Linked DNA regions of Mytilus edulis. The protein of the gene in region 1 binds, or shares a complex with, the protein of each later gene. Links are inferred from orthologs where the notes say so. Each region holds a gene or a part of one and is shown on either strand. Other genes may lie near its edges.

Region 1 (16,944 bases):
AGATTAAAACTTTTTGAGTTACGGCACTTTGTAATAAAACAGGGGGGTGTTTTTTCACATGTCGCACCGTATATCAAAAACGATTTTTGATTATTGCTTAAAACTTTACACACTTAACACACTTCTTAGTTAAATTAATCTTAAGATCTGTATACTTTTTGGTGATGATTCAAAATTTCATTTTGAGTTATTGAGTATTTTGTAAAAAAAGGGGGAGGGTTTTTGTCACGCCGTATCATAAAAACAAATTATGATTATTGCTTAAAACTTTACACACTTCTTTGTTATATTAATTTAAAAATCTGTACGTATACATTTTTGTTTTGTTTTCAAAATTTTATTTTAGTGATATTTAGATTTTTTGTAAAAAAAAAAGAGGGGGGTCATATGTCCCGCCGTATCTCAAAAACAATATATGGTTATTGCTTAAAACTTTCTCAGAAACTATTTATGATTGTTGCATAAAACTTTTACACAAGACGACGGGCGTATCATGCGCTCATGGCTCAGCTGTTTATTATCATTTATTGTGTTTAATGTGATCAATTACTGATTTTAGTGCAAATATGTTATCTGCCGATGTATTTCTGTATTTACATAATTCATGTTCATCTGATATATTAACCAATTAAGGATTTGTATAGCAATGTATAGTATTAAATGCAAATCCTTTGATTTATAACAGAATAATTCAAATTAGCTTTCAGTTTTTCAAATTCAAAGATATTGAAAATACTCAAAGATGATATCAATTAAGGAATAAAAACATTCATGGATTTATTTGTTTTACAATATTAGTATAATTGTCATTATTACGACACACTAAAATTTCTTTCTTCTCGTCCTCGAGTTCTCGTCACCACTGTAACTCATCACATAAGTTTAATCGCCCCAATATGAAGTCTTGCTTTTAATCATTTCTACCTCGGAAACTTTCGGGAATCACCATAAGGGCTAGGAGGGAAAATTGAAAAATGTCAGAATCAAAGGATAAAAATTCATTGCCTTTATCTCGTGTGAGAACGATAATGAAGAGCTCCCCAGATGTTGCAGCAATCAGCCAGGAAGCCCTTTATTTAACAGGCAAAGCAACTGTAAGAGAGATTTTATTTACCCCCAAAAAAAAACAGTTGTAAAAAACTCAATGTGAGAACATAAATTTGTTTATAGTGGAATCGGGTCCCCTCGCCATCGGTCCGTCAGTCCACGGAGTCGGTTCGCCCTGTATGTGTTCGTCCATAGGGAAGATTCGTCCATAGAGTCGGTTAGTCCTGGGTTCGTTCACCCTACTAAGGCTACTTATCAAATCCATGAAATCACTTGAGCACTTAACAATGCTTAATTAGAAAATTTAGAATTTTGTCATGTAAATTGTGATTGTGTAGTTTTTCCATAGGCAGTGTCTGAGCGTACCCGCATGTGGGTACGAATAGTCAAATTGCCATTCTAGGCTGCACGTACCCACATCCGGTTTTCTATTAAAATGCCATCGGATCGGGAATGAAACGTGAAATATATACGGAAATTATCGATAATGATCCACCTCATGGGGATTTCGTGTAGAAAGAGTGAAGAGTATGAAAATTTGAAAAATAATAAAATAATAGAGCTAAATGAGAGCTAAAATGTAGCATCCAACAATAAACTTAGTTTCATATATCTCTGAATTTGAAATTTACAAGCCTTTTCAAAAATCTTGTTAGGTTACATTCTAATTTTATACATTGTTATACGGTGCAGTCTGGTGTATCCGCGCACCTAAGACTTATGACTTCACTTTATTCAATTGATAAAACCAAGAATTAGATAATATTGTGTGAACACATTAATTCATAACATATGTACTTTTATTTCATAAAATGATCTGTTTGTATGGTTTCATCCTCAAGATTTTGTGCAATGTGTGTCCAAAATTAGGGAAACCCCTGTTCTGAGAGTTCCTTCAATGTCCGGTAATTTCGTGCATGCCTTCCAAAAATAGCTTTTTTTTAAAAAAGGAAAGATTTTCTGCTACAAAATATAGCTGAATTTGAACCAAGCACACTGCCAAGGATGCAGAGCGAAAATTATTTCAATCTGATATAAATTTGACTTAAATAAAACAAATTTTTTCTGTTGATGTAATTTTTTTTAATGGAAATTGGCAAAATATTGTAAATCACGCGATTGCAGTTATTATCATTATTATTTAACTCTTGAACTTATCAATTTTATTCTTTTTTTCCCTTCTGCATGCTAAAACAATAACAAGAACAAATTCAATTTTATTTGTGTTACTGTGTTGATATGACAAAATCAGCTATTGCGCGATATCACCGGCCGCTCGGACACCGGGGACTCCACTGTACATGTTATAGTTTGTCATTGTATATATTAGATATATTTCAATAATTTGTAGCCTGTAAGTCATCATTAAATATATTAATTTTTCAGGAATTGTTTATACAGAACTTAGCCATGATCTCATTAGAAACAAATGAAAGTAAAAACAGTGTAGACTACAAAGACTTAGCTGAAGTAGTTAACTCAGAAGATGTACTCCAGTTTTTACAAGGTTTGTATTCAAGATTCATAATTTTTCCAATCTGATCAAAACAGATCTTTGTATTAGAATAGAATAGAGAATGGAATATTGGAATGTGTCAAAGAGTCAACAACCCACCCAAGAGTAGAAAAAAGCAGAACTTCTAAAAGGCCACCTACAGGTCTTTATCGCTGCAAGAAATCCTGTACCTAGAGTTGGACTTCAACTGACCGGACCCAAAAACAAAAATAAGAAATCAACCCGACATTAACAAAAGACTGTATTTGGTAGGGTTTAGCACACCATTAGTACTAAAAGTAGTGAATCAATTTTTATTGCTAAATGGTTAAGACTCATTATAGTCCAGTCAATCTAGCATAAATTTGACCCTAACCTTAAAGTAATTGCAACAGAAGATTTTTAAGTTTTAATATTCAGCATTATATCATAAATATACACAGGAAAAAGTCCCATAAAATTTTACTGGAGGAAGACTAAAAAATCACAATTTAAAATTCCTATGAAGATTTGCATTGAACATGTTGAATAGCAGCTGAATTGGGAGATAATTCTGCAAAAAAGTCAGAAATTTCAATAAAATTGATACAAAGTTATAACATTACCGATTTTATTCAACAGAATGCATTATTTCTTGATATTTTAACCATTTTTAGAGTATACCAAACAGCTCTAAAGATGTTTTCATATCTTTTATCAAGCCACAATCTACATTGTGTAATGTATTAGTTGACTATTTATTGAATTTTTCAACATGTCAAGGTAAAGAATCTCAAATTTAATAAAATAATTAAGAATATATTCTTCTTTTTGTGGTTTAAAGTGTTTGAAGTTGCTGAACAAATATAATATACAGATATAAACCATACCAAATTTTGACATTATTTTTTCAAAATGGTCACAAATTTGCAATTTCTTTGATGAAAAATGCACACAAAAAAATTAAAATACCCATATCACTTCGGTTTTGTACATTACATGAGCAGAAAATTATATAACATAGTCAAATATGAACTTATAACCCCATCAAAGTAGCATACTTTAATTTTATTTTTTTTAAAAGAAAATTAACCAAAAAAAGACCAAATAAAGACTTTTTTGCAGAGTTATCTCCCCTTCCAATGTTAATTTCCATAGGAAATTAAAAATGCTGATTTTGAGTTTTTCTCAAGTTTAATTTTATGGGACTTTTAAAAAAAAACAATAGATAAATGCTTTAAAATGTTTAAAGTCAACAATACAGTGTTAAAAAATTATCGCTCATCTTTTCAAACATTGTCCCAAAAGAGACTATTAATCCAGGTGACAGGTATTAAATCATTCTAGTCGAAATTTGTTACAAAATGCTTTGTAATCATTTTTTATTTTTCAGATATTATTCCAAGGAAGATTAAATATTCTGAATATCTTTCCATTAAACAGAAGGAAGAAGATGAAAGTTGACAGAGTTATCTTTCTTAAACCTGAAAAAAATAGACAAAATAATCTTGACGGTCTTGGTCTTGGTCAATTCTGAAAAGGAATTCCACATGTTCTTATGAAGTATGATAGCACACGAAAATACACTTATGTACATGAAATTATAAATCTGATGTAAAAAACAGTAATTTCTTTCAGAATCATGCAATTAACTTTTTATATAAAATTGATACAATCCAGCATATATGGTTTAATTACTGTTGTTATAGATTGAAATGTTAGAGAGCAGTCTTACTATAAAATAATGAATAAAATGTCAAAAGTGACACTGTTCTGGTTTCAATTCTGTCATGTACAATAGTAAGGGAGGCATTATGTTTTCATTTCTCTGTGTCCTTATGGTTGTCTCATTTCAGGTTCACATAGTATTACTGTATTTTCTTAGTCTTTACATGTTAAGGCATTTATCTAGGCATTTTTTGCATGAAAACAAGCAATCCTTTTTGCCTCAATCAATTTTGAGAAAAGGGATAGGATATAATGGTTCTTCTTGTCTGCTACGAATGATGCTGAAAGGGAGACATAAGGATTACAATCCAGTTATGGTGCCGGCTTATTTATAATTTGTATAAAGCTCTATAGTACAGAATGGAGATGACCTTGATGCTTCATACCTTGTGTAATGATGTTTCTATCTGTCATTTTTCCCTTGTCCTATACCTCATTTTCATGGTTCAGTGACAGCTTGAACATGTTTTGTTTGTCAAGTCTAATATTGAATTATTATGAGTAATATAATAACTATATTTGGTATATGGGTAAATCCTTGCATTTTCTGCATTTCTCATTTCATAGATCTGGTATCAAGGTTAAAGTGAAGTGGTCAAGTCAGTATCTCTGTGATACTATTTCTAACCATTAGGTTAAGGTGGTACCTAACACTACAGGGAGATAACTCTGTAAAATCAGCTAAACATTTTAATTACACTGTGTTGTTAAGGAAATATAAGCTTCTCAATAATCAAACTAATGTTTGTCAAACTGCTATACAACCAGTGTAATTTTTCTCATAAAATGGTTGGTTCAAATTTTTGGAAATTTTTATATTTTTGTGAAATGGTCAAAGTAAATACTTTGTCAAAATTTTATGAAAATTAAACGATAAATAAATTTTAGTGAGGGTGTTGGGTACCACCTTAACTTAATTTGGTGTATGGAATAATTTTAAGGTGCACACAACAGGTTTTATCTTAGGGGTCGTCCATAATTGTCAACCATTTTCCAAAGTGTACAAAACGTACACTTTGTCAGACCCCCCACCCTCCTTCAAAAAGTGTACATCAACCATTTTCAGATTTCAAGAGAAGAATCAGTCATTCTTAATAAAAAGAAGATCCTGTCTATTATATTTTAGTTTAATATAGAACTTTGCATTGAAAAAAAAACTAAAACATATCTGACTGTTTTTTTTGATGACATCTATCTGTGATGCTTGTGTTTTGTCCGAATAAAGATTACAAAGATTAGTGTTTCCCCTATCACACAGTGGAAATGGTAACTCCAATAAAATAGGGCACCTAGAGCATGCAAAAGATTAACAAAAGGACACATAAAAACTTTTTGTTTAAATAATTTTACTAGTTCACATTTTTGAAAGATTTAGTTTTCATATGATTTGATCTTTTAATCGTTCAATCCCGATTGAGTAGAATTATGATATCAAAATCAATATCATCAAGTGAAAATAATCAAGAAGAAATAAGAAGAGAAACACTCAAGCCAATTCTCGATTTTATAAATCGACTTTCCCTACGGAAACGATATAAATTCCGGAAATAAAAAAAAAGCGTACGGTAAAAATGTTGATTTTTTAACCCCCTCCCCCCAAGTGTACGTTTTGTACACTTTGGAAAATGGTTGACAATTATGGATGACCCCTTACCTAGACTCCAACTTCATGGTTCATTGGACAATGTTGAGATTTTGTTGTTTGATCTGTTCTCAGGTACTTTTAATGATTAGACCATTACATGTACATCTGGTGTCTAAATGATTGCAAGCTGTACAGGTCTGGCTGGCATAAATTATTTGACCATGACCTAATTTTATGATTCATTGGTCAATGTTAATATTAAGTGGTTTGATCTTTTTCTCAGATGTTGTAAAATTGCCAAATAAACAGCTGTATATCCAGTTAAAGGCCAAAATGAAACAATGCAAACAATTATAGCCTATAGGTCACTATACAGACTTAAAAAATAACCCAAATCCATGCCTTATAGTAAGCTATAACAAAACCAGGATAAAAAAAAATTACGAAACAATGCAACAGAGAAGACCTAAATCATGATTTGTTTAACAATGAATGAAAAGATTTACTTGTATGAAAAAGGATAAGTCTCAGCACAATTTAGGAGTGTCTAGATGGGGTTTACAGAATATATAGAGAAATCAATAACAGGCCAATACCACCAAAAAAAAATGGACTAAAAAAATAAGATCAGAAGTATGAAGAAATGAAAAACAAATTTAAAAATACAGAAAATAATGGAAAACATGCAGTAATTCAAATTTGTTAAAAGTTCTTTAACCATGTAAATACACATGAAATATGTCCAGTCAGAACCTTTGTCAGTGGTCATACTTGATTAAACCACCAGTTTTATACAATTATGAATTTGTGATGCTGACTGACAGATTGTTGTCTCTGTTTACAGCTTGTCCATACTAAGAAAGATTCAAAACATGACAAGATAGACATTTGGGTATATAGCTGTCTCAATGATGTCTACACCACATCTATTTTATTTGGAAAATTGTATGAATTTCAGGGTTCTCAATATAAGACAAGTCCATGAATCCCTCCTGGTCTTATCTGAAGATTGTCAAATGGTGTATCCACTAAGAAGATGAATTGTATACCAATACAGTTTTATCTTTTCACTCTTACTTGCCATATATATTTGAAACTGTAATTGCCCTCAAAACTATTCAGTGAGAACCTGACTCTGAGATGTGTATTACGGAGGAGAATATTTTTTTAAATAAAACTTAATATCCTGGGGGTAAAAATAGCATATTGGCAAGACACATTGAGGCAACCAGTACCACATGTTGAGCAGGATATGCATCCCTAAGGAACTGAGATCATCCCCTTTATTTTGGTGGGGTTGGTGCATGTGCAGTGGCGGATCCAGAACTTTTCCTAAGGGGGGGCCCACTCCAGTCATGCTTCAATGATTCCCTATATAATCAACCAAATTTTTCCTACCAAAGGGGGACCCGGGCCCCCCTGGATTCGCCTATGATGTGTTGCTTAGTTGTTAGTTTTCTATGTTGTGTTACCGTATGTGTACTGTCAACTTGTTTTTTTTTTTAATTTGGTTATTTTTTTTTTTTTGCCATGGTGTTGTCAAGTTTATTTTTGACTAACGAGTTTGAATGCCCAATTGGTATATTTCACCTCTCTTTTTGAGATGGGCATATAAACATGTGTGAAACTTAATTCAGAATTTATTGTGAGGTACAAAAAGTTATTTATCAATTAATGCAAATAATGCAATAGACAACTTTGGAGTTCAATGCATTTCCTTCAAAAACTCTGGTTTTAGTGAACGTCATTTGTGCGTTTAGGGGCGTCGTCACTTCCTTTCCAATGTTGAGCGAGTGATTGGAAAACTAGAATTCTATGTTGTAAGAATTATACTGCAAATTGAATTCTAAAAAATTGACAATCAGCACTGCTGTTATTAGGGAATTGTCATTAAGTACCTACAGACAATGACAGACCATTATTTCTAGTTTATCCTGCACAATGACGATCACTAAGACACTTGATGAACGTAAATAGTGCAGGGATACAGGCGATCCCCTCTATCTGGTAAATGACGTCATAAAGGCTGCATAATTGACGATTTTTTTCCGGTGATGGATGAACTGGAAAGTGGTCTATTGGATAAGTTTTGTAATAAAAAGAACTACTATTTTGATATCTGTCAGATACATATCTTTATGCAGCATTCCTAAAATCTCAACAATTAACTTCCCAGTTTTGTCCATCTTTTACAAATTGCAAAAATAAATGCACACAATAATTTCTGAACTTACAGTATTTAAGCTGCTGACAATTATCAATAGAAATGAGATGTTAACTTTTGGTCAGGTTTTTGTCTCTTTTGTCATATTTCCCATTTCCTGTAATTCCATCCTCTATTTTAACACATGTACTTATAGTATTACCATTCCATTTATGATTTATAATTATTGTAATTATCAAATCATTTAGTAAGATACAGAAACTTTCTAAAAATCCAAAAAATTAGATGCTTTCATCATGTTCAATATCAATTAGGAAGTGTACAAAAGTCCGGAATATGAAACATTACCAGCTATACAAGATTTGTGGTGGATATACATGTACATAACATTGTTACAGTGGATAAAACTTCACCCCTATTTTTTTATGGAGGTGAACTAGTTTGACATCATGTCCGGGCCATTTAGTATTTTACTTGGAAAAGTAAGACTGATAAAGCCACAAATAAATAACTGTTTATTGTATGTACATACATTCTAATTTGGTAATTTGTAAAATATTATACTACATGTATTTTGAAAAAGTACATATATAGTTATTGATTTGAACAATTGCACCAATAAACACCTGAGTATTCAAGAAAAAAATTGTATTAATGAACAGCCTTATAATCAAGTTATTCTTATTGCTGGTCTTTTAATTTCACACCCATGCTTTTTAATAATTCCAGAGCTTCTTTGTGAGCCTTTTCATCATCAGGTTTATTTAAAGGTTGATCTTTCGCTCTAGTTAAATATTTCAGCGCCATATTATGGTTCTTCAATCTGAGGTAAGTTTTCCCTAACATCAATAAGTTCATACTGTAAAAATTAGGATCTGCTTCTTCAGCTTTTTCAAAATAAGCCAGCGCCTCTTCATAAGTTGAAGTTGGTGGTGAAGCAAACAGTGCTGAAGCTATTTGTCTCATGTACCAAGGCATGTCTGCAAATAGAAAACACCAATACCCAAGTGAGTACAATGATGTTGCATCTTTTGGGTTTAATTCATTGGCTCTCTTTAAATGTTCCTTCACATGAAAGGCATTTGAAATTCTTTTTTTCGTGCCTTCATATTCTGCTGTGTAATCAAGTAGTATGGCATACCATTTGTGAGAGGCAAAATTATTGTCATTTAATTCTAGAGCTTTCTTGACATATTCAAAGGCTTCAAAAAAGCAGGCTTTCTTTTCATTGGTATTTTGAACTAGTTTTCCTTTGTCGCTCGCAGCCCTTGCCAGTCTCCACAAAATTTCATCATTCTGACAATCCTTGTACTGAATTAGGAAATCATACAGTTTAAGTATCTCATTAGCTGTATATATTTTATCAGCTTCTATAACAACTAATTCTTCTTTGGTCAATTCTTTGACCTCTTCTTTCTTTCCAAACCCAAAACTTAGAGCATGGACTGTTGCAAAAGGTTGAAATGCCAGTACAGGAAACAATGGATATTGGATTTTCTTGAACTGTTTATATGATTCCTTTCTCTGGGACCTCAAGAATCTGTATGCCACGCCACATGACTGTCTAAATTTTGTAAAAAATTTCAATGAACTTTGCATCATGAAGGTGGCACGGTAGTATTTGCTTCCAACGTTTTAGGTTGCTCCTTTGTGTACCCTACTTAGGTGAATACTTATGACACTGTGATTGGACATTAAAATGGATTATCAACCAGAAACATTTTTTTCAAGTATTTTAACCAATTATGAGTCTGAAAAATAGCAATTTTCAAATGTAACTATTGAAATAAATCTTTTAGAATTTTTTTAGAATATTGCATTTACTGCGGCCAAATATGATGTAAATGACTGGTTCCCTTAGACTGGTGACAATAGCTAAAAAAGTAAACGGTCATGATGGTGTTTCTCATTTATTTTTGAATATCTGAATGAAAGTACTTCAAGTTACAGTAGGTTTTAGGTCTTGGGGAGTGTTAGAAAGTCATGAAAATCTGAAAAATGTTAACATTGTCGCCTATGGCAGGGAAATACTACCGTGCCACCTGAATATGTTGTCAGTGTAATCAGTGAGTAATCTCTGAAACAAGTTCGGTTCATTTATTTTCCGGAAAACAAGAATCAGTAATCAATAAATAGTAGGAAATATGGTTGACTAGAAAATATGGTTTTGTTCGTTTTATTTACAAAGATTTATCCTCTAATGTGTCATGACAGATTTGATTTCTACCAGAGTGTACAGTGCATTATGTTCCCGGATTTTATTCTCAATCTGCCCGTACTTTTATGTAAATTATATCTTGAGTCCTAAAATCTTTCTTTTATTCCCTATACATCGTGGAACAAAGCCGGCTTCAGAAAAAAATATATCAAAAAGTACGAAATCTCACGTAGAAAGTTATATTAAAATCAAACACAGATAAATCATCAACTACTGTATACAATCAACTTTGTCAAAAGATATTTCGGTGTGGTTTTTAAGATTGTCAACCACTTTAATGAAAAAGGGGGGATAATTAATGAGATACATGCCTCTAGTGGACTAACCTGCCTCAGCCTCAGGCAGATTTGTCAATCCCACCTCCAAGCTGTTGACATCTTATGATGTCCACTCAGATTTTGAAACAAATTTTAATTTGATAAAAGATTCTGAAAAACTGGTAATGTTCAACAACAAGTTCATTCATTTTTTAAAGATTTTTTTATGAGAATGTCTGCTTTGTTAACCAATTGCGCTAAAAAAAGACCTGCTGTTTTGTAGAGGTGGGGGAAGACCTTTTTGGAGATGTCAGGATCGGGTGTTCAGGATAGACCCTTTCGAGATCCTGGAATTCTTGTTTCCAATTTTGGAATGCTGGGATTTAAATTTCTTTAAATTTTGGACCTCAGGATTTCATGTTTGAAGCCAGAGATTTCGGGACCAACAGAGGCGGATTTAGGGGGGGCCAAGGGTGGAAAAATTTGGCTGCTTATATAGGGAAGCACTGGAGCGGGCCCCCTCTTAGGCAGTCAGTGGGCCCCCACTTATGAAATTTCTGGATCTGCCACTTATCAGGTCCCCTCTGACAGCCCCATCCCCCTCCATAGCGAAAACAATTACTTTTAATGAATATTGTTAGCAAATGAATACTAGAACACCTATCTTTTTTTGCACATATAAATAAGATGTAGTATTCCATTCCAATTCCAATGTACATGTATAAAAAGTAAAAAAATTACAATTCAAAGTATCAGGCCTTCACCACAGAGCCTTGGCTCACACGGAACAGCAATCTTTAAAGAGCCCTACAATAACTACATGTAAAACAATTTAAAAACTTAAAATTAAAGGTCTAATCTATGTAAAAAAAACAAGAAACAATTGTGAACCACACCAACAAACAACAACAGTCATTAACATTTATCAAGTTAGGCCACAATTAAAAATATTTCAGTTTGCCCAAACCCGACCCATGATGACTGGGTGTGGGTAGGTAGGTAGGCAAATTTTTTTTTCTTTTTTTTTTCCAAATTTGCATGAAAATATTAAAAGATCTTAAAACAGTATATCTTTTTTTTTCTCTGTCAAACCTTTGTAGAGACAACCAAAAGCCATGAATTTAAAACCTCTATAAATAAATTAGTCTACTATATGATTTGTATCCTGAGATGTTTATAACCCTGACAATTGCTAACTGTGTGAAAGGGCTGTTGGATTTGTGAAGTGATTTTCAACAGTTCCATCAACATGATCAACACGATGTTTGTGTAAAAAAAATATCAGCTGATTATGTAATGATTAAATTTGTTTGCAGTTTTTAAATCCTATTCTATTAAAATAGATTAAATGTCCTAAAATATTTATATGAATTTTTATCTACCATCCTTAGTTTGTGTCTTTTTTATGTTTTGAAAACAAATTTATATTTTACATTATCACACAGGTAAACTAATTTGGCTATAAATAGATCAAAGCATGTTCTGTAGAATCTCCAAACTAAAAACGTATTTGTTATAATTTTATTTCTTTAAATAATCAAGTTTAAATTTTTGAAAATAATCATTATTGATTAAATGAAATTGCATAAAGTTAACGTTTTCTGAAGACTTTATTTTTAGGTCTGACATGGTTCTAGGGGCTTCCTCACAAATTGTATAAAAATCCAATATGGCGTCCATAACATGTTTTTACTTTTGCACATGTGAAAAAATATTTCTGACAAAAGTCAGATTTCTCTTGTCAAAAGGGATTTATATTTATATTGCAATAAATTATTCAGAAGGAGTGACATTCAGTTAAGATTATATTTCTGATTCTGTGAGCAATTATAGTTTTATCTAATTCTCCCAAACAGCAACGTACTGACTGTCTAATGAGACTTGTAAATTTGAACTATTCGAATAAAAGGGCATCTAATTTACATGATAAAGGAAGATTATAATTAAAGACAACAATTTATCAAGAAATAATTCCTTTTTATTCAGTAAAAACAAAATCTTCTTGCAAGATTATAAATTCGCAACTTCCAGATCCATTTCCTGTCAGAATAACATTAAAAATATTCGATTGCACATGGTTTTGAACAAATCTACCCAAATATTCTTATCAGATATTCAATAACACGATGAAATTAATGTTGAGCATATAGGTAAGGGTTTGGTAGTACAAACAACTACAGCATAAAAAAACTGTGCCACTTCACTTGTTATACTTCTTTACGTTCGTTAAATCAGAAGATAAAAACAGAGAACATCGAATATCGATTAACTGCGTCTCTTATACGCTTTCTTTTAATCTTATTCACAATTACTTTCAAACGCAAAGACGACAAACATTAAGTTTTGTACGATGACGGAGCTGACCCAAAATAAATCCGGAAAAAAAAAATTCTTCCAAAAAAACGTCAAAAAAAGAATTTGAGTCGGCGGGTTTATTTTGGGTCGGTCGCGTTTGGGCAAACATACAATCTTTTTATTTTGGCCTTACAATGTATCAAGCCCTTTAAGTTAAAAAAAGGAAATGTGATATGATTGCCAATTAGACAACTCTCCACAAGAGACCAAATTACACCGATATTAAACATCTATATGTCACTGTACTGCCTTCAACAATGAGCAAAACCCATACCATATAGTCAACTTTAAAAGGCCCAGAAATGACATGTTAAACAATTCAAATGAGTATTGTCAAATTTGTTATACATTGAATTTGTAAAATAAGATTATATGTTTATAATCTAGTGGTTCTTTTTTTCAGGATGGCACAACCACTATTGTTAGATTCTACATGGAGAGACCAACAGAAATTTGAAAATGCAGAAGCTGTTTATCAATGTACAATTGCTGGTACATCTGTAAGTCTGCATAAAACTATGTACACTAATTTAGATCTTTGGGCAGGAGTAACAAATTTGTTTAGGCCAAAAAAATTAATATGTGTTTCCGTAAACGTCCTGAAAAAAATTAAAGTAGGCAATATCAATCTTTTAACAAACAATTTTTAGCTGGTTGCTATTAGGGAAGTATTGTGACTTTAAAGATGCTTAGTCCAAATTGGCATAAAAAGAGTTGGGTAGGCACTAAAAATTAAGGTAGTCAGGTAGTTAGGGTTAGCGGAAACATGTATTATTATTTTTGGCCTTAGATCTTTGGGCAGGATTAACACAATGTATGATGTGTATTAACCTTACTATTTCAGCTTTTACTAGCTATAGGATTCTGATACCAGTATTCATTTGTATTTGTACATGTTGAATTTTTCAAGATATCCATAGAAATGATATAAACTGTAAACGGATACATGTTCATGTGCTTGCTCTTAAGGCCTACATCGATTTGTCCTACTCAGGGTTAGTAGAGTTTTCTCAACTGGCAATGGAAGAGTTTTGGTTGCCCACATGCACATTTATTAGCACTGATCTTTTAACTCAAGTCAACCCGAGTTGGACGATTCGAAGTAGGCCTAGATGAAAGCATGTTTTATTGGAATTTGGCAAAAAACAGAACAACTTCTGTTGATATTTCACAAATATTTTTTTATAGATTCATAGTTATCATCAAAATCATTTAAGAAATAGCATGTATAGTAAGGATGCTATTGTAACATTGTAAATTTTGGATCAATAATGTATATCATGATGTATAAGTAATTATTTATTAGTGCATGCAGTAAATTATATATCACACGTATTATAAAAACTTCATCAAGTTACCATTGTAGATAAAAATAAAATTAACATACACATAGAAAACTAAAAGTACAACATTGATCTGATCTGAAAATAAAGATTGAACAAAAATAGCAATGTTCAATCTAATTGGTTTTTGTTATTTCCACATTGGGCAGCCATTTCCGACAACTCCCATGAAATTTAACCTTAAAATTGTTGAAAAATTTGGAATTCAAATGCTTACACATCATCAGATCATTCTCACATTGTAAATAGGAAATTAATTCTTACGAAGAGAAAAAAAGAAATATTGGTGGAATAAACAGGATAATAAAATTTCTGTTAAATCTGTGTTCTCCCAGGGTCCAATCGTAGAAGTGTGGAAATAACATAATCCATATTTCACGTATATGGTGAAGTGTATAAAATTATACATTTTTGTACTTACTACTTATTTTATAATATGATTAATATTATGTAGAGTGGCTTTCATCAATTTATCATGATAAAGGACAAACAACTGCAACCTTTGACAAATGTTTGAGGAATAAAATAAAATAATAATTAATAAACCATACTTTGACCTTTTTGTTTGGCGCTATTAAATAGATTATAAATATTGAAATAAAAAATGCATATATTTCTAGGGCAATAATAAAGAGAATTCTGGGTCAAGCAAATTAATAAATGAAATAGCTGAAGCCAGACAACAAATTCAAAAAGCTTTATCTTCTGTGAGTAAAATTGCTGTTGTTCATGTTATTATTTCATTCTTTTAAGCATGTAGATATTTAGTGCAAAGCAATCTAGTTACAACTGACTGTTTTATAATAGCTATCTGTCTTTCTTTTCTTAACATTTCTATAAGGGCTATTCCAGAAAAAAATGTATGGGGGGGTTGGAAGGCAGTTTTTGTCAGCACCCACCACCCAGACAATTGTAATTGAGAATTATAGTGCATTATAGTGTGAAAAGTTGCTCTGATACCCATCACCCATGTATTATTAATATAATGTGCCTTCCAACCCCCTTATACATTTTTTTCTGGAATAGCCCTAACAAATTATGACCTTGCACACCATTAATCAAAAAAAAATCTGTGCATTATACATAACTGGATACGGTAATAAGGCAGTAGACTGCCATTGAATAATCAATTTTGATGACAGACTACTGTGTTATTACCATAGTCAGTTGTGTATAATGCGCACATTTTTCTCAAGTTAATCTGGCATAAAAGATGTGTGTTATGCATCAATAAGTTATGTGTATAATACACAGATTTGTTTCTTTAGTTACATGGACCAAAATTAGTTTTGTTTTATGCATCAATGTGTTTTATACAGAAAAGAAAGAATATTTTCTCTTAATACATGCAGATAGTTATTATAAAACAGTCTTCAATTCACCTTAAGTTGAATAAACCAACCCAATGTTAATTTTTACATCATATCTGGTTAGTTAGGGCTTTAATGTTTTGCAGTCTGTATACATTATGTATATTCCTGCTTTAGTTTACAAATGCTTAAGACCATGAAGACCAAGATAAACATGGTAAAGGTACACACACTTATATCATGTAATATGTATATAAAGGAATATATAATATTTGATGTAAAATTTTATAGAATGGATTACAAGAATAGTTAATGAAGGTTGAAATTTAAATACTAGTAATTTTATTATACTTGTACATTTCAATTTAAAAACATAATATAATATATATATACATCAAGAAATTTCATCAATAAACATGATAAAAAAATACAAAAACTTCAGAAAATAGGTTTGGTTTGAATTCCATTGTAATTTGGTCGCATCATGATTTGACATTAAACAGTAAAATGAAAATTGCACATGTTATTCTGAAAATGAAAAATTCAATTTGATCTGAATGTCATCAATGTTGAAAAATAGATGTTGGGTAAATTAGTCTTGAGATGGCAAACCAACAATCAAAATAACCAAAATGATACTTAAAGAAAATTGACGAACAATAAACAGACTTCAACAACCAATATTTTTCCATACCTTATGCATATGCCTAGCTTTTAATCATTCAATCTTTAAAAGTTATGAATAAATTTGCTGACGCAAAAATTAGCATCCTCATGTGTTTATGGTGTTTTGATTCTGCAAAATAATTATATATATATATATATATATATATATATAAGTACAGAGTGTTGATTATCACTAAATAGATTATAATTCACTGCTTTTTGCTTCTTAAAAATGCGATATTTATTTCTGTGAATAAATTCATTTGAAAATACAGTAAAAATGTTTAATAAAAAAAAGTTAATAGAATTATTTATTTTATGAATTAAAGTTTATTGAAGCAAATTTTTTATATATATATATTTTTTAATTAGTACTTCAAAAAAGCAATTAGTAATGATTAGAAACAGAAGTTAAGTCTACATATATACTACATGTATATCAAAATTTGATCTTTTTAAATTCTGTTAATTAACTTTACATTCCACTTTTCTGTTTTTTTTTGCCATCATTCAGGTATTGGTATATATAGCAAAAATATTGTGTTGTTTTAAAATGCTTCTGATTTTTTGTTCAAATACATGTTGTATACATAGATTATTCCCCCTTATTTTGTTCTTCTAATAATCATCATACATGTTGTATGTACATACAAAATATTCTTTCTTTTTTACACGTTTTACAGAAATGTTGAAAATTATTTTCTGAGCAAGGTGTATACCATAGTGCTATACTAAGTGATCCACCTTTTATTCATCATCTAAATTAACATGTTCTATAAACATGATAAATGCAAAAA
Region 2 (15,872 bases), on another chromosome or scaffold:
GGAGGGTAGTATACATAATAACCTAATAATGATTTCACATTCCAGCTAGCAAGCATGTATAGCGGTTAAAATTGAATCAGTAGTTTCATAGAGAAGAAATGCATGCTGTTATTACCATCAAATTCTGCCATCTTCTCACAGAATTTAAAATCTCCAATGACTTTTTTAAACTGAGGTTGGTTAACAAGTGTTTTAAACCATCTGTTGACATTTGTGAAAGACTCTACAAACTTGGGATCTAAAACCTGTAACAATAATTAACCTTAAATAGTTAAAATAATCATCAAAATACTTGGAAAACAAAGCATTTTCACTCAACCATATTCTTATCAATTTTCAAAATGGATGTGCTATGTATAGTAACTGCATTTTTTTGGTAATGAATGCATCTTATCAATGTTTATATTAATATAGAAATTTCATCTGAATATCAAAGTTTCATCAATACAGTAGATAAAGTTAACTATTGCACCTTTTATAGCTTACTATGCTTGGTTTTGATCATTGTTGAAGGTCATACAGTGACCGATACCTCTAATTTCAACATCATCTGGTTATGGTGGAAAGATGTCTCATTGACAATCACACTGTATATTCTAATTGTTATACCACTTGGTCACCAAGCAGTATGTTTTCTTACTCAATTCTTAAATAAATGTACATGTAGTTATTCTGAATATGAAAAAGTTGTACAGTATCAACCATTTCATGTGATCAGAAAGAACATTTCTCTGCCTTCAGTTCTTACACATTTGCCATTTTAAACCAGCAAACATGCCTTTGATGAAGGTTCTACCTTATTGGAAGCCATTCAAACAAAAATAAAAGGATTATGAACTTTCAACATGAATATCAAATATGTGTCACTATATAGCAAAGGCTAGAAACAATCCTTCAATCAGGTGTATGTCTGCCTATGTCACTGTATGTGTAACAGAGATGGGTCCGATTACTTTCAATGTAATTGATTAAATAACAATTACTTTGTCATTTGTACGATTAAATTAAATTAATGATTACATCATTTCTGAAAGTATCTGATTAAATTAATGATTACATTGGCAAAGTAATCATGATTACATCTGATTACAATGAATTTTAAAACAAACATTTTGAATGATGTGGATGAATAAACGTTTAATATAACTATAGCATTTTTGAGAACGTATTTTATTTGGTTCAATTATAAAATGATAACTTCAAATTAAACGTCATCTATTTAAATAAACACCAAATTTCACTACATATATATACATTACACTTTATCACCAATGTTCTCTAAATTATTTTGAATTAAATTTAATAAAGATATATCATAATCAAAGAGTTTTTTTGTTTGTCTTCTGACCTCTTTCATAATTTATATGTATTCCAAGTTGCAGTTTATGGAAGTTTAAATATGGATGAAATAAAGTTACATTTGTACCAGTTAAAACTATGTTAAATTTTAATAGAAATGTTTAATCAAATTGTAAACAATATGTATTAAAGTACTAAAAACCATTGCATTTTACACGTCCAGTCCAAATACAAAAAAAAGTTTAAACAACATATTTGTCCAACTTTTAATTTAGTTTGTGCTAATTAGATAAACTTTCATGTCTGATTTATCTTTTATCATATATATTTCCCTACAGCTATACTCAATTGGTAATTGCAATAAAAACAAACCTTAATTAGTCTCCTACCTGTCAATTCAAAGTTGACAAAAATCACAAAAATTAACAAAAGATTATAATTCAAGGTTAAAGTAAAGTGTTACTTGAATATATAACATTATTATCAAATATTAATATGAAGATCATTATAAAACGATGAATATACATGTATGTACAATATCTTTTACTAAGATAAAAGGTATATAATTGTATTATATGTCTCTGCTTAGGGCTTAGGCTAATGATGACTTTTCAATACTGTAACAGTTTATTTTTTACTGAAGTAGACAAGCTTAAAGTAACCAAACCATTTTAGTATGTTAAAAATTTATCAAATATGAACAAAGAGGTTCATTTAATGACCAAAAACACAATTTTAGATTTTTTTCATTGTAATCAGAATGTAATCAAAAAGTAATCATGATTACAGGGTATTTTGAAAAGTAATTGATTAAATTAAATTACATGTAATCAGATTTTTGGCTGATTAATGATTACACTGATTACTTGAAAAATTGTAATCAATTACAGCTGATTAACGATTACAATTACAATTACCCCAAGTCTGAATTGTGTAATTTATATCTTGTCCACCTGATTTCTTATGATTAAGAAATTCCACACAGTCATTTAAATGGTGTCTAGAAAATCAACCTGACAATGGTACAACTCAGTTATAGACAACAGCAATCATTGATAATGTTTATGAACTTTCCCCCCGTTAGTATGCATTGAAAAGATCAAATTGATTAGGATTGGCTTTAGCTGTGTAATTGACAAATTTTTGTAGACAAATCTTACCAATAGTTACTTACATATTTGTACAGGGACAATAGATTGCAAGCAACACTAATGTCAGCCTGGGTGATGCGTTCTCCTACCAGGTATGTACGTGTCAGCAGGTAGTTGTCTAACACAGACAGAGCTTTCTTCACCTGGGCCTTAGCACGCTCTGTTTCCTAAACAAAAAAATCAACAAGTTTTTACAAATGAGTTCATTTTTAAAATTGCCTTTTCTCATTACACACATACTATAAAAAAAATAATGCCAATACAAATATTATTTCTTCCAACATGAGGATTTCACCACACAAATTTGAAATAAAATAATTATCTCTGCTGAGTTAGGTTAAAAAATTACTTCTGTGGAATTACAACTTTTTTTTACTTCATGTCCGCCTTTAAATTTAAAATGCAAAATTTTTATATCTCCAACTTTAATTACAAGCATCAGCAAATGCATAAATCATCAAGCTGGACAAAATTGTGATTTAAACAATTCAAATTCACTAACAAGATGTGCAAGCAAATTTTCAAGAAATGTTCCTGTACTTCATTTTTGTACTTCACAGTTCTACCTCTACAGATAAACTGTAATTTGCAACATATGTCCTTATCTTGTTCTCTTAATTTTACATACCGTTTTGTTATACTGCACAATACCTAGGCATGGGTATACCCAGGTACAAGATGCTGGAAGAATCTCATTGTCACCAAAATTAATCCACTGTAGGATGAATGATGCATCTTTGTCATTCTTACCCCTCAACTGAGTGTTCCCAACTAAAAAAAAAAATTGACTTCATGAAATTCATCAATATGCCTTTGTTCATGAAATGAAGAACAAGATCAATAATTATGACTTTTCATCAGGAAAACTGGCAATCTAAAACTCCCAGCCAATTAAGATTGGAGTAGGGGCACCTGCACAAACTTAATGTTGAAAGGCTAGATTTTAATGCAGAGTTCACTCAGCAACCTAAACCCCAATATCATGAATATAATGTTTAAATGATAAATGTTCAACTTCCAGTGCTAAATAAAAAGCATATTTCAGGGAGAGATGTTGTTGTGTTGAGAATTTAAATCCTTCTTTAGGTAAGCACACTTCCACAAATCAACAGAGACTGCTGTCAAGCTTTGACCTTGACCTTCATGGGGGTTGATCAGCCATAACATGCCTACTTTGAGAAATTAGTTTTTTAGTTTTTTCAAATATCTAGTCTCTTGAAGTCAAATTTTCTAAATAGAAGCATGTGAATCCTTTCCAACACCATGCATACATTTAAATCAGCCATCATTTCAACAACTTAGAGGTTGAATATTAATACCTCTTGCTTACACTACAATTCTGAAAATACAATCCAATGATAGCCTCCACTATTATCAGTCACCACTTTTTTAATTTTACCTTGTTTGTTCAAAGAATTTTAAGATTAACTTTCTGAATGATCAATTTTTTTTGTTATTTGGCAAACACATTATTAGTTTATTCTCCTTAAAGATAGCCAGAAGATTAAGAACAATGGATGTGCTTACAGTGTTCTCCCCAGGCCGTTTTAGCGCCGCGATTTTCAGCGCTATTTCAATTTCCCGCTGTCCTATTGCACTGACCGCGTCGCTATCCCGTTCAACCGCGTCGCTATATTTTTTTTCGCTTTTTTTTTTAAATTTCCCGCTTATTTTTCTTTTCGGATCACGTGATTGACTGGTTAACGATTTTTGAAAGAATTATTAAAGTAACTCCGCGGGACCAGTCTAATAAATTTTACAAAATGGCGTCGTTGAGAGATCAAAATAAACAAAGATTTCAACATTGACATCTATTTAATGAATATATAGAGGCATATATGAATGAAATGAGAAGAAATAAATTGACCGTATTTCCCAACGACATTCACAAACTTGTTTAACGAACTTTGAACAAACACTGATTTTAACAACGATCAAATTGACTTCAATGAGCTAGTCTTTGAAGTATTAATTATCACCCAATCGAACTAATACCTGTTTAATCAGCAATTCTACAGTAATGAATTTTACCCTTTGAAAACAATTAAGAGGATATGATTATAAAAACAAACCCCAAGCTGATACTAGACTTGAGAAATTCACTTTCTCGATGTCCAGCTTGGGTGAAGCCAAGTTAAACGTCGTAAGGTTAACAGAACACTGCTACATGTTTTCGCTTTATAAAGATGCCGAAACGTATGAAAGGAATGGACAGTGCTAACAGAGACATATAATACATGTCTCGGGTGCTGAAAAGTTCATTTCTAAATTATATTTAAGGGAAGTTTTACCCCCTTCTCTGACAACGTTATCTCGTCCATTTTTTGAACCATCTACGATTATATCATTACTTTTTTTGCGTTTACAACCGAACTGTCGAACCTGTATTGCTAACCCGAATAATTCAGTCGTTATATTCCGCTGATCTACGATGGCTGCTCGTGTGGGAGAAAATCGGACACGGAAAGGGCTTGAATTATTCGAGTTACTGAATTGCTTGAAAGAAGCATCCCTGTTATCAAGGGATTCATTATAAGCCCGTATTTTACGATTACTTGACCATACATGGCTCTTTTTCAAATGGATAAGGGAATAAAACTAAACGAAAATTTTGTGTAAATATATATAAAATATCGATATTTGTCAACCAATCATCAATATATCTTAATTAAATATTGCTTTAAATTTAATGTAATCAGAGGATGGCTTGGATAAGGAATAGTATTTAATGCTAAAAAAAAGACATAGGTGTAAACAGGAAGTTATGTCAGCCAGTAAGGGAGATAATTTGGGAGGGAAAGACCTAAGAGAAGTATTGTCAAATCTTGACAAACTTATCTGGTGGCATGTATTCAAATGTTTATAAAATTATCAAACAAAACCTTTAAAGGTGGTAGTTGTTTCAATTGGCATTCATAATGTATTTGATTGGTAATTCACCTTTGAAATAAAAAAATCTCTTTAAAATGATTTGAATATTATTAAAAGGGCAATTTCATTTCTTCCTTTGAAATACTATACTCATTTTTATTGAAAAGTTGTACTTTGCTAGAAATGTTAATAAAAGTAAATGTAAAAAATACCAATCTTGTCATTGAAAACTTTCTCACAGAAGCTGACAATGACTTTATTGTTGGTCCTACATGTTCTGCAACATTACCTGTTAGTGATAAGAAATCTTCACATCTAGGCAGTCTGGTATAGACTCACCATGGAAAAGACTTCTCCTTGGGTTTTATAGACAGATAATATGAGGATTATATGTATTTACAATGGAGACAAAAAGACTTTTCTTCTATCATGTCTATATCCAGACAATAACATTAGCAAACAAAGGGGTAACTTCCATGAGCATGATGAGGACATCATAACAAGAGAAAACATCAATAGCATTATATAAGAAAAACACATAACAAATCAATTACAAACCAACCGCGCGCCGCGACAAAGTTACTGAGAATTGTCGAAAATCACGCGCTTACCACAGCGCTATCCAAAAATCCTGGGGAGAACACTGGCTTACATTTACATGATGTAGTACATGCATATTGCTCTTTTTTTGTGGTCCGACTTAACGTAGCATGTGCATGTCTAATTGTATGCATACATTTTGTAATTCATGCGAGTAAAAATAAAATATATAAAGTACATACGAAAGTGTGCAATGGCATTGCTTTCAAATATGCAATCTCCTCCAGCTGTAACAAATGCTGGAACCTGAAAAATAAAATGACATACATTTTAAAACTTACAAATACATACATTAGATCCATCTTACTTAATTTATAATCAAGTGAAAATTAATATTTTCCATTGCCACTCTCCATAATAATCATTAAGATCTAAATCTTAAATAGGGATGTGAACATTGGCATTATTGATAAAAGTTGGTTATTTTTTCTTTTTTACATTAAATCCTATGAAGACAAGAGAAAGTAAATATACATCATGATCATTCTGGACCATAATATACTGCATGTAGTTATTCTGAATATGATCACGCCTAAATTTATTAACCTGGTCATCTGATCAGAACAAACCTTGCTCTTCCTTCAGTTCTTACACATTTGCCATATGAACCAGCAAACATGCCTTGAAGGTTGCATCTTATTGGAAGACATAATTTCCTAAATGATTATTATTCTGAATGTTCATTAAGCTAGTAACAATGGATTAATGTGTTGACCGCCATTATGACACTGCCATACATCTTTACTTCTTTTTAATTTGCTATCAAGAACCCAATATTACCACACTATAATGATTATGAATTTTAATGTCCAGTGGAAAATATTACAAGCACATCAAGAGAAAATGTATAGCAATTTGTGTTCTGTCGTGACTTTATTCAACAATTACTGTATTAGTTTTAACTTGTTTTCCAAATTTTGTCTTATCTTATGTATTTGTATGTAATGTGATGAAAACTCTTTATACTAGGACCATCCGAGTGTAATTGTAAAAAAAATATTCTGTTTGACTCCTGCTATGGACTAAACCAACACATTAAGCTTTATTTTTTGTGTACTTAGATGAGTTTGCCAGACGTCACCCTACCTAGACAAATCACTGACTCTTAGTCTTACATGCACATTTTCTTATCCAGAATGCCAATGGGTCGATGTATAGGATAAGTAAATCACATACCCGTAGCCAGGGGGGTTCGAGGGTTGCGGACGAACTCCTCCCCCCTTGAAAACAAATTGTGACTGTTAAAGTAGAGTTCCCGAGTCCAAATACCCCTCCCCCCCTCCTTGGAAATTCCTGGTCTGAATCAGCAGCAAAAAACACAGAAAGTCATTCAGACACAAACTTGAACAAATAAGGAAGAAGGGGAGTTGGTATAACTGTCATTGAATCTGCCAAGGGATACTAAATGTCTATGTACCGCCATCTGACATTGCCCTTTAACAAATATCTGACAAGTTCATGTTTTGCCATGTAGATAAAATTTCTCAGCAAGAGACAATGCAAGAAAGATGAAAGTTTAACCACTAATTCAATTATGTGACAACTTTATTTGAATACATGTACATGTAGTTATTCTGAATATGAAAAAGTTGAATGGTATCAATCCTTCATGTGATCAGAAAAAAACCTTTCTCTGCCTTCAGTTCTTACACATTTGCCATTAAAAACCAGCAAACATGCCTTTGATGAAGGTTCTACATTTTTTTATCATTCAAGCAAACAAAAAGATTATGAACTTTCAATAAGAATATCAAATATTTGTCACTATATAGCAAAATACTAGCAACAATTGATCAATCATGTGTTGACCCGACTGTTACGTGTAAGCAGTACAATACACCTTATACAAGTTATAGCTACATTGTATTTGTCCATGGTTCCATGAAATTTTTAGGTCATTATACAAATATATATGTCGCCTAAATGGAAAAGATTGTTGTATGACATCAATAGTTCAAGCCAGACAAATTCTCTAGGTCAGCTTGGAATATAGATAAGGTGTTTATGGGCACCATTCATGTAAAATTTCTGACGTCACAATGGAAAAATGATTGTTGACAATTTGTTGTACGCCAATAACAGTTCAAGGCAAAATGGGGCAGATTCTCAGGTCAATAGGGACAGATTTTCAAATAGCAATACACTTTTCTATTGTGGTGTCAGATTTTGTGGGAACCTATGTGGTATACAGTAATGGCGGTCAATTAGCGATAAGGTGTTTAAGGTGACATACAATATTATGTGTACAGCTCTTGAAATTACTTCTACTTCTATGTGGTTAATCTGCAGTCAACGCAGATACACTGTGCATGTGTGTCAACCAGTACAAGCCAAGTTAAAAATAACAAAAGCTTTTGAGTATTTAGAGGAACAAAAACAAATAAAAATTAATTTACAAAAAGAGGAAAATCAATAAAAATAATTTTGATGTTAATTTTTATGCAAAGAACTGGCTCGTTAGTGGACAGTATCATATATATGCATATCAGATGTTTGTTAATTCTACAAATGTACCATCATCTGCTAGTCAAAATCCGTAAAAATATTGTCTGCATTTTCAGAGTTTATTTCTCGACACATATGTATCTTACCCATATCAATGTTTCGATGTGTGACCACATTTAAAAAGCGACTTACTTTTCCAAGCGGAAATTTAGACAAGAAATCTGGAGTTTGGTTGGTTTCACCGAACTTGAAACTTGCAAGCTTGATTGTTGTACGGCTGTACTCCGCTGCAATTTGAGCTTTGAAAGCTCTGAAGTTGTCAGGGTATGTGTAAAGAGTCTACAAAATTAAAAAAAGACAAAGATTATTTATTGTTTTTCAGTTTTCCAGAGGTAAATTTATTGTTTGAGGAAAGATTGCGTTGATTCTATATTGATTGTCACGTATGTCAATGTGTAGTACCCCTGTAGCCATTGCACCGGTAAAAAAGGAAGTTACATTTGAACTTTCCGGTATGTCATGCGCTTTTCGATAGAATTGCTTCAAGTGCCCGGATGTTTCGTCTAGAGTTGTCAATATCGAACTAAAATATTTAATTGATCGAAACAGAAATACAGTTTTAGTTGAAAATGGTAACATAAGTGCCTCATTGAAACATATTTGATGTTGCATATTTGTTATGATATGATTTTTGTATCCTACACTCTAAAATACAATAATTTTGGTTCATTTGTACCAATTTTATGTCCATGATTCTGAAACTGGACAGGGAAAAAGGGGGAAATTTTGGGTACAACCTCATCGATGTCAAATACTCGATGCTTCAACTACATTTTCTAAGAAACTATTACTTCTGTATACGTGAATTAATCAATTGCAAAAAGAAAGATTTTCTAACAGACAACACATTTACAGCATAATAATTAATTTAATATCAATAAATGTCCTTATAAGGTCTACATCGTAGGTTGATTTATCAGCACATTGCATAAAGACACTTAATAAAAAGTAACAATCTGAGAGTCCAGTAATCAAAAATTAAATTTGTGCAAAAATAAAAAAAAATAACATTTACATCAATACATGTCTTACATGTATATACAAACAAGGTACGTAGATATCTAAATATACTGGCTTTGGATCAGTATTTTAAACCAATCCTTTTAAACTGATCCAAAGAATTATAAACACTAATGATGTTTTGTGGAAGTAAATTTCAGAGTACAACTGAGTATGGAAAAAAGCTGTACTGAAAGTAATCTGTTCTGGTGCTGAAAGTTTGAGATTGTATAGTGAGGGTGGTAAAGGGTTATTTTCGTGCAACGTTTTCCGCCTTTTTAATTCACGTGTTTTCGTGTTTTGAAGTTTTATTTCTCGTTTTCTCGTGTTTGGCTCGACGTGCGTGCCTCGTGTTCTCCTTTATTTATTTTCCGTGTTTCGTGTCATTACTCTTAATTTCTCGTGCTTGTCCTGCAATTGATTAAGAGTACGGCCGGGATTAAATTCAAAGCCCCGGTCAGTCTGGAGATTGATTTAAATTATGTGTTCCCATGCAGAATATTTAAAATTGCTATAATTAATTATTATGATCTATTATGAATAATATTTTTCTTTCAAATCAGTTGCGACTAGCCGACGCTAAAATGTGACTGTAGGGTCATCATGTCCATCATATATAATGGCTAGATGATCTCCAAGAACGGCTGATTAATAAATTATTTTACTTTTTACATAAATTTTTACTATTTTATTTCTCGTGCTTCGTTTTTTCCGATTTTTATTTTCCGTGCAACGTTTTTGCCATTTTTATTTCACCTGTTTCCGTGTTGAGGGCCCCCCTTTACCACCCTCTATAGTGAGTCTGGTGTTTTTATCTGGCTGTGGTGTGAGGTAAAGATTTGAATCGACTGCTATAAGTTGGTGTGTGATCTCAGACATTATAGTTACTTGATTAATGTTTCTGCGAGTTTCTAGTGACTTCCATTTAAGATCGTCAATCATGGAAGTGGCACTACTGGTGTTATGGTACTTGTTGGTGACGTAATGTGGTCCTTCTTCATGTTCTTTGTACCTTTTCAATATTATTTTTTTTGTTTTTGGGTGTTAAAGGGGACCAAACTGAAGAGCCGTATTAGAAGTTTTATCGTACCATTGTTTTTGCGAGCCAAACTTTTTGTTTCTTCCTGATTAATTTTCAAGTTTCTTCGTAAAAAGCCTAACATCTTGTTTGCTTTAGCTGTGATGTTGTTGGTATGGGTATCCATAATATCCCATGACATATTGTTGGATACATCTGTTTGGCAATACATGACATCGATTCAAATTGGACACGCTAAGAGTATCACAATATTGGATGTAGATTTGAGAATGTGGAGTCAGATTAGAACGTTGATTTGAGGAACCGGCGTCGATTCTTTCAAATACATATCAAGTAAATATTGCTATGACATATGTTTATGTTATTATAAAATCAGCTGCCAGTCTCAAGTCATTATAATATATACATATTTTGTTTAAGGGCCAGATAAAGCCTGCCTCTAGATGTGGGATTTTCTCACTGTGTGGAATACCCATTGGTGGCTTTTGCTGTTTTCTGCTCTTTGGGCAGGTTATCTCTTTGTGTGACACATTCCCAATTCTCAATTTTAACTTATTGCTTTTATCTGTTTTAGGGAAATGAAGCATCACTTCCTTTGGAATTATGTTCAAACTGTAAGTAGATTTAAATATGATTTGATTGATACTTGCGAATAAAAAGTTTTTATGTTATTTTGAAAAATTTCAGATGATATGCCTTAAATGAATTTCAAACTAATTTTCACAATGTTGCCTTTTATCTTAAGAATTATATTTGAAATTTGAAAAGTTAAAAATGAACAACAATACAGATGATACAAGATTTACTTAACGGCCAATAGCAGTAAAAACTACTATTTAATTTTACTACATCTTATTAATATGGAAATTTAGATTCAACTTTTTTTATTTGTCTGCTGTTTGTTTTCGTCAATGTGTAAAGCTTTTGTCCTCTGTTTGATTTAGTCAATGTTTAAAGCTTTGAAAGTATGACATTTAATTATTGTTCAGCCACATTTTAAGTTCAAATGCTTTATTTAGAAATTGATGATTTTATAATTATCAAACATTTGTTGCAGTCTTTCATCAAAGGCTACTATATATAGCTATATTTACTGAAGTTAAATTCTTGGAATTTTAGGGGCCAATTTTGACCATTTGTAACATTCTCCAAATGACCTTCACCATGCCCACAAATATAATTGAGGCAGAGATGGGTCCGATTACTTTCAATGTAATTGATTAAATTACAATTACTTTGTCATTTGTGCGATTAAATTAAATTAACGATTACATCATTTCTGAAAGTGTCTGATTAAATTAATGATACATTGGCAAAGTAATTATGATTACATCTGATTACAATGAATTAAAAAAAACCTTTTGAATGATGTGAATGAATAAAAGTTCAATAGCATTTAATAGTTTTTATAGAATTTTTAGAAAGGATTAGGTTTGATATATTATAAAATGATAACTTTAAACCTCATCTATTTAATAAACCACGAAAGTTCACTACATACATACATTTATACATGAACATTGTGTCTATGGTTTGACCCATTACCTTCATCAAGATTGATCTCTGAATTATTTTGACTTCAATTGAATAAAGCTTTATAAAGAGTTTGCTGCTTGTCTTCTAACCTCTTCCAGACTTTATTTGTATTTCAAGGTGCAGTTTTATAGAATTGTTTAATTAAATTGTAAACAAAATTCAAATACTAAAAATCATTGCATTTTACATGTCCAGTCCAAATACATACAAAATTTTGCTTATTTTAAACAAGATTTTTTTCCCCAACTTTTAATTTAGTTTGTGTTAATTAGAGAAATTTTGAATGTCTGATTAATCTTTTATCATATGTATTGTCCTGCAGCTATACTCATTTGGTAATTTCAATAAAAACAAACCTTAATTGGTTATCTACCTGTCAATTCAAAGTTGACAAAAATATTACCAAAAGATAATAATTTAGGGTTAAAGATAATTATCACTAGAATATAACAGTTATTATCAAATATGTATATGTACATCTTTAAATTGTCAATATATGTACAATATTTTTTACTAAGGCCAAAGACATATAATTGTATTTATATGTCTCTTAGGATAATGGGGGCTTTTATATACTGTAACAGTTTATTTTTAACTGAAGTATACAAATCAATCAACATGCTTAATAAAGTAAACCAAACTATCTTAACATATTAAATATTTATCAAATAAGAATATTAAAAATGTTAATTTCTTGACCATCAACATTGTAATCATAATGTAATCAAAAAGTAATCAGGATTACAGGGTATTTTGAAAAGTAATTGATTAAATTAAATTACATGTAATCAGATTTTTGGCTGATTAAAATGATTACTTGAAAAATTGTATTCAATTACAGCTGATTAACGATTACAATTACCCCAAGTCTGAATTGAGGTCCTGATCTTGAGGACTTGGGGTACAGATAAATTACATGTATTTAAATCAAATATCTGGTTGGAGGTATGAAAGCAAATTTCTTATAAATTTTCTTGCTTCATTATACAATACTTCATAATACAATTAGTTTTTGAAGTAACTTTACATGTGAAAATATATAAAAAATGTTTGTATTAATTGTTGGACCCTTTCTTGAAATATTTTGTTTAGGGTGATGCAAGTGCAAAGTCTATATAATAATATAATTTTGATTTATATTTTTCAGTTGATGCAGATGAAATTAAAAGACTTGGTAAGCGGTTTCGTAAATTAGATTTGGACAACTCTGGATCACTGAGTGTAGATGAGTTTATGTCATTACCAGAATTACAACAGAATCCTTTAGTACAACGAGTAATAGATATATTTGACACAGATGGTAATGGAGAAGTAGATTTTAAAGGTAATTTATCTCAAGAAATATATACAACTTTTAGTTAAACATCAATATTCTGTTTAGATAAGAAAATAGATTCTGTGTTACTGATAACATGGATAACATATAAGAATATTATTGCCAAAATTGAAGGAAAACAGAAAAACTATAATTATATAACTGAGGTAAACTTTACATTTTTATAAGAAATTTATGACATTAATCTTATTCAGTTGTTTAAGGAGCCTTACAAAACTTAATTATTAGAAATATGTTTCAAATTGACTTAAAATTCACTTCAGGTACATGTAAATTAATAATCAGAGTTTAGCTCTTTTTCACAACTCTATCTAGGAAGTGTTTTGTTCTCCTGTAATTAGTGATATTTTTCTTTTACAGAATTCATAGAAGGAGTATCACAATTTAGTGTTAAAGGAGACAAATTATCTAAATTAAGATGTAAGTACAATAAGTTTTGTCTAGGTTACCTGCTGACTGACCCTGTTTGAGGTCTTTTCCAAGAGTCATAATTGTTTGGTTTTTGTCATTAAGAATCATCTTACTGAAAAAGTCAAATTCAATATACATGTACCACTTTGAGTACTTCAGTAATTTATTCCTGTATGAAAATTGTCCTGATGAAGCCTGCCTTGCAGGTGAAACATGTAGACCATAGCATATAAAATTGCAGACCATTTGGAAGTTTTTTTTGTCAATTTGGAGTATTACATTTTGTTATGTTACATGGATGCTAGTTATTCATGCTCTGCTTTTAAAATGACAGAAAAAAATAATTTTGGGATCGTATGATGGTATGCTGTCTTTGTTGTCCGAAAACACATTGGTTTCCAGACAATAACTATAGTTTATTAGTGAATAGATCTTAATGAATTTTTTTCAGAAGGTAAAATACCACTAAAGGAAGATTGGGATTGATTTTGGGGATTATGGTCCCAACTGTTTTGGAAAAAGGGGACCACAAGCATTTTTCTAGTTTCAGGATAATAACTTGTGATAAATATTTCGATTGCTCTAAAATTGTACCACAATGTTTAATACCACAAGTAGAAGTTTGGGATTCACTTTCGGGGTTATGGGGCCAACAATTTAGGAATAAAGGACCAAATAGCGACCAAAAAAAACAGCATTTTTCTAGTTTCCAGACAATAACTTATGTGTAAGTGTATGGATCTGTCTGAAATTGTACCACAATGTTCTATATAACAAAGGGAAGGCTGGGATTGAGTTTGGGGTTGATTGCACCAAACATGTAGGAATTAGGGGCCAAAAAAGGTCAAAAAGAAGCTTTTTATACAACCGCAAAAATTTTAATTTTTTGGTCGTATATTGCTATCACGTTGGCGTCATCGTCGTCGACGTCGTAGTCCGAATACTTTTAGTTTTTGCACTCTTAACTTTAGTAAAAAAGAATAGAAATCAATGAAATTTTAACACAAGGTTTTTGACCACAAAAGAAAGGTTGGGATTGATTTTGGGAGTTTTGGTCCCAACATTTTAGGAATTAAGGGCCAAAAAGGGCCCAAATAAGCATTTTCTTGGTTTTCGCACAATTACTTTAGTGTAAGTAAATAGAAATCAATGAAATTTAAACACAAGGTTTATGACCACAAAAGGAAGGTTGGGATTGATTTTTGGAGTTGAGGTCACAACAGTTTATGAATTAGGGGCCAAAAAGGGGCCCAAATAAGCATTATTTTTGTTTTTTGCACCATAACTTTAGTATAAGTAAATAGAAATCTATGAAATTTAAACACAAGGTTTATGACCATAAAAGGAAGGTTGAGTTTGATTTTGGGAGTTTTGGTCCCAACAGTTTAGGAATAAGGGGCCCAAAGGGTCCAAAATTGAACTTTGTGTGATTTCATCAAAAATTAAATAATTGGGGTTCTTTGATGCGGAATCTAACTATGTATGTAGATTCTTAATTTTTGGTCCCGTTTTCAAATTGGTCTACATTAAGGTCCAAAGGGTCCAAAATTAATCTTAGTTTGATTTTAACAAAAATTGAATCCTTGGGGTTCTTTGATATGCTGAATTTAAAAATGTACTTAGATTTTTAATTATTGGCCTAGTTTTCAAGTTGGTCCAAATGGGGGTCCAAAATTAAACTTTGTTTGATTTCATCAAAAATTGAATAAATGGGTTCTTTGATATGCCAAATCTAACTGTGTATGTAGATTCTTAATTTTTGGTCCAGTTTTCAAATTGGTCTACATTAAGGTCCAAAGGGTCCAAAATTAAACTAAGTTTGATTTTAACAAAAATTAAATTCTTGGGCTTATTTGATATGCTTTATCTAAACATGTACTTAGATTTTTTATTATGAACCCAGTTTTCAAGTTGGTCCAAATCAGGATTCCATATCAAGTATTGTGCAATAGCAAGAAATTTTCAATTGCACAGTATTGCACAATAGCAAGAAATATCTAATTGCACAATATTGTGCAAAAGCAATTAATTTTCAATTGGAGTTATCTTTCTTTGTATAGAATAGTAGTTGATAATATATGTTGGAAATTTGCCAGACATGACTATGATGTCATTTTCTATTTTT

The links.
Region 2: the proteins of elongation factor 1-delta-like (region 1) and elongation factor 1-gamma-like are in contact, whole or in part, in a crystal structure (PDB 5JPO), measured with the Homo sapiens proteins. The link is inferred for Mytilus edulis from reciprocal best matches to the Homo sapiens genes EEF1D and EEF1G. Residues at the interface, in NP_001123527.1 of Homo sapiens: Ala2, Asn4, Phe5, Leu6, His8, Glu9, Ile11, Trp12, Phe13, Lys15, Phe16; in NP_001395.1 of Homo sapiens: Tyr9, Trp13, Arg14, Phe40, Gly41, Asn44, Gly56, Lys57, Val58, Ser104, Val107, Pro108, Ser111, Thr112, Phe115, Ile120, Met121, His123, Asn130, Glu134.

The regions. Positions count from the first base shown.
Region 1 is NC_092355.1:30,357,893-30,374,836, reverse strand, and holds the start of elongation factor 1-delta-like, read left to right. Parts: upstream 1-10,309; 5' UTR 10,310-10,371; intron 10,372-13,231; 5' UTR 13,232-13,232; coding exon 13,233-13,328; intron 13,329-14,791; coding exon 14,792-14,878; intron 14,879-16,944. Other genes in the region: chromatin accessibility complex protein 1-like, read left to right, coding at 975-1,094, 2,434-2,554, 3,915-3,985; regulator of microtubule dynamics protein 1-like, read right to left, coding at 8,680-9,600.
Region 2 is NC_092346.1:58,343,937-58,359,808, forward strand, and holds the start of elongation factor 1-gamma-like, read right to left. Parts: upstream 8,948-15,872; 5' UTR 8,841-8,947; coding exon 8,829-8,840; intron 8,706-8,828; coding exon 8,559-8,705; intron 6,168-8,558; coding exon 6,104-6,167; intron 3,222-6,103; coding exon 3,079-3,221; intron 2,618-3,078; coding exon 2,474-2,617; intron 246-2,473; coding exon 116-245; intron 1-115. Other genes in the region: calcineurin subunit B type 1, read left to right, coding at 8,996-8,998, 11,039-11,078, 13,148-13,324, 13,697-13,756. UniProt on the Homo sapiens protein: Probably plays a role in anchoring the complex to other cellular components.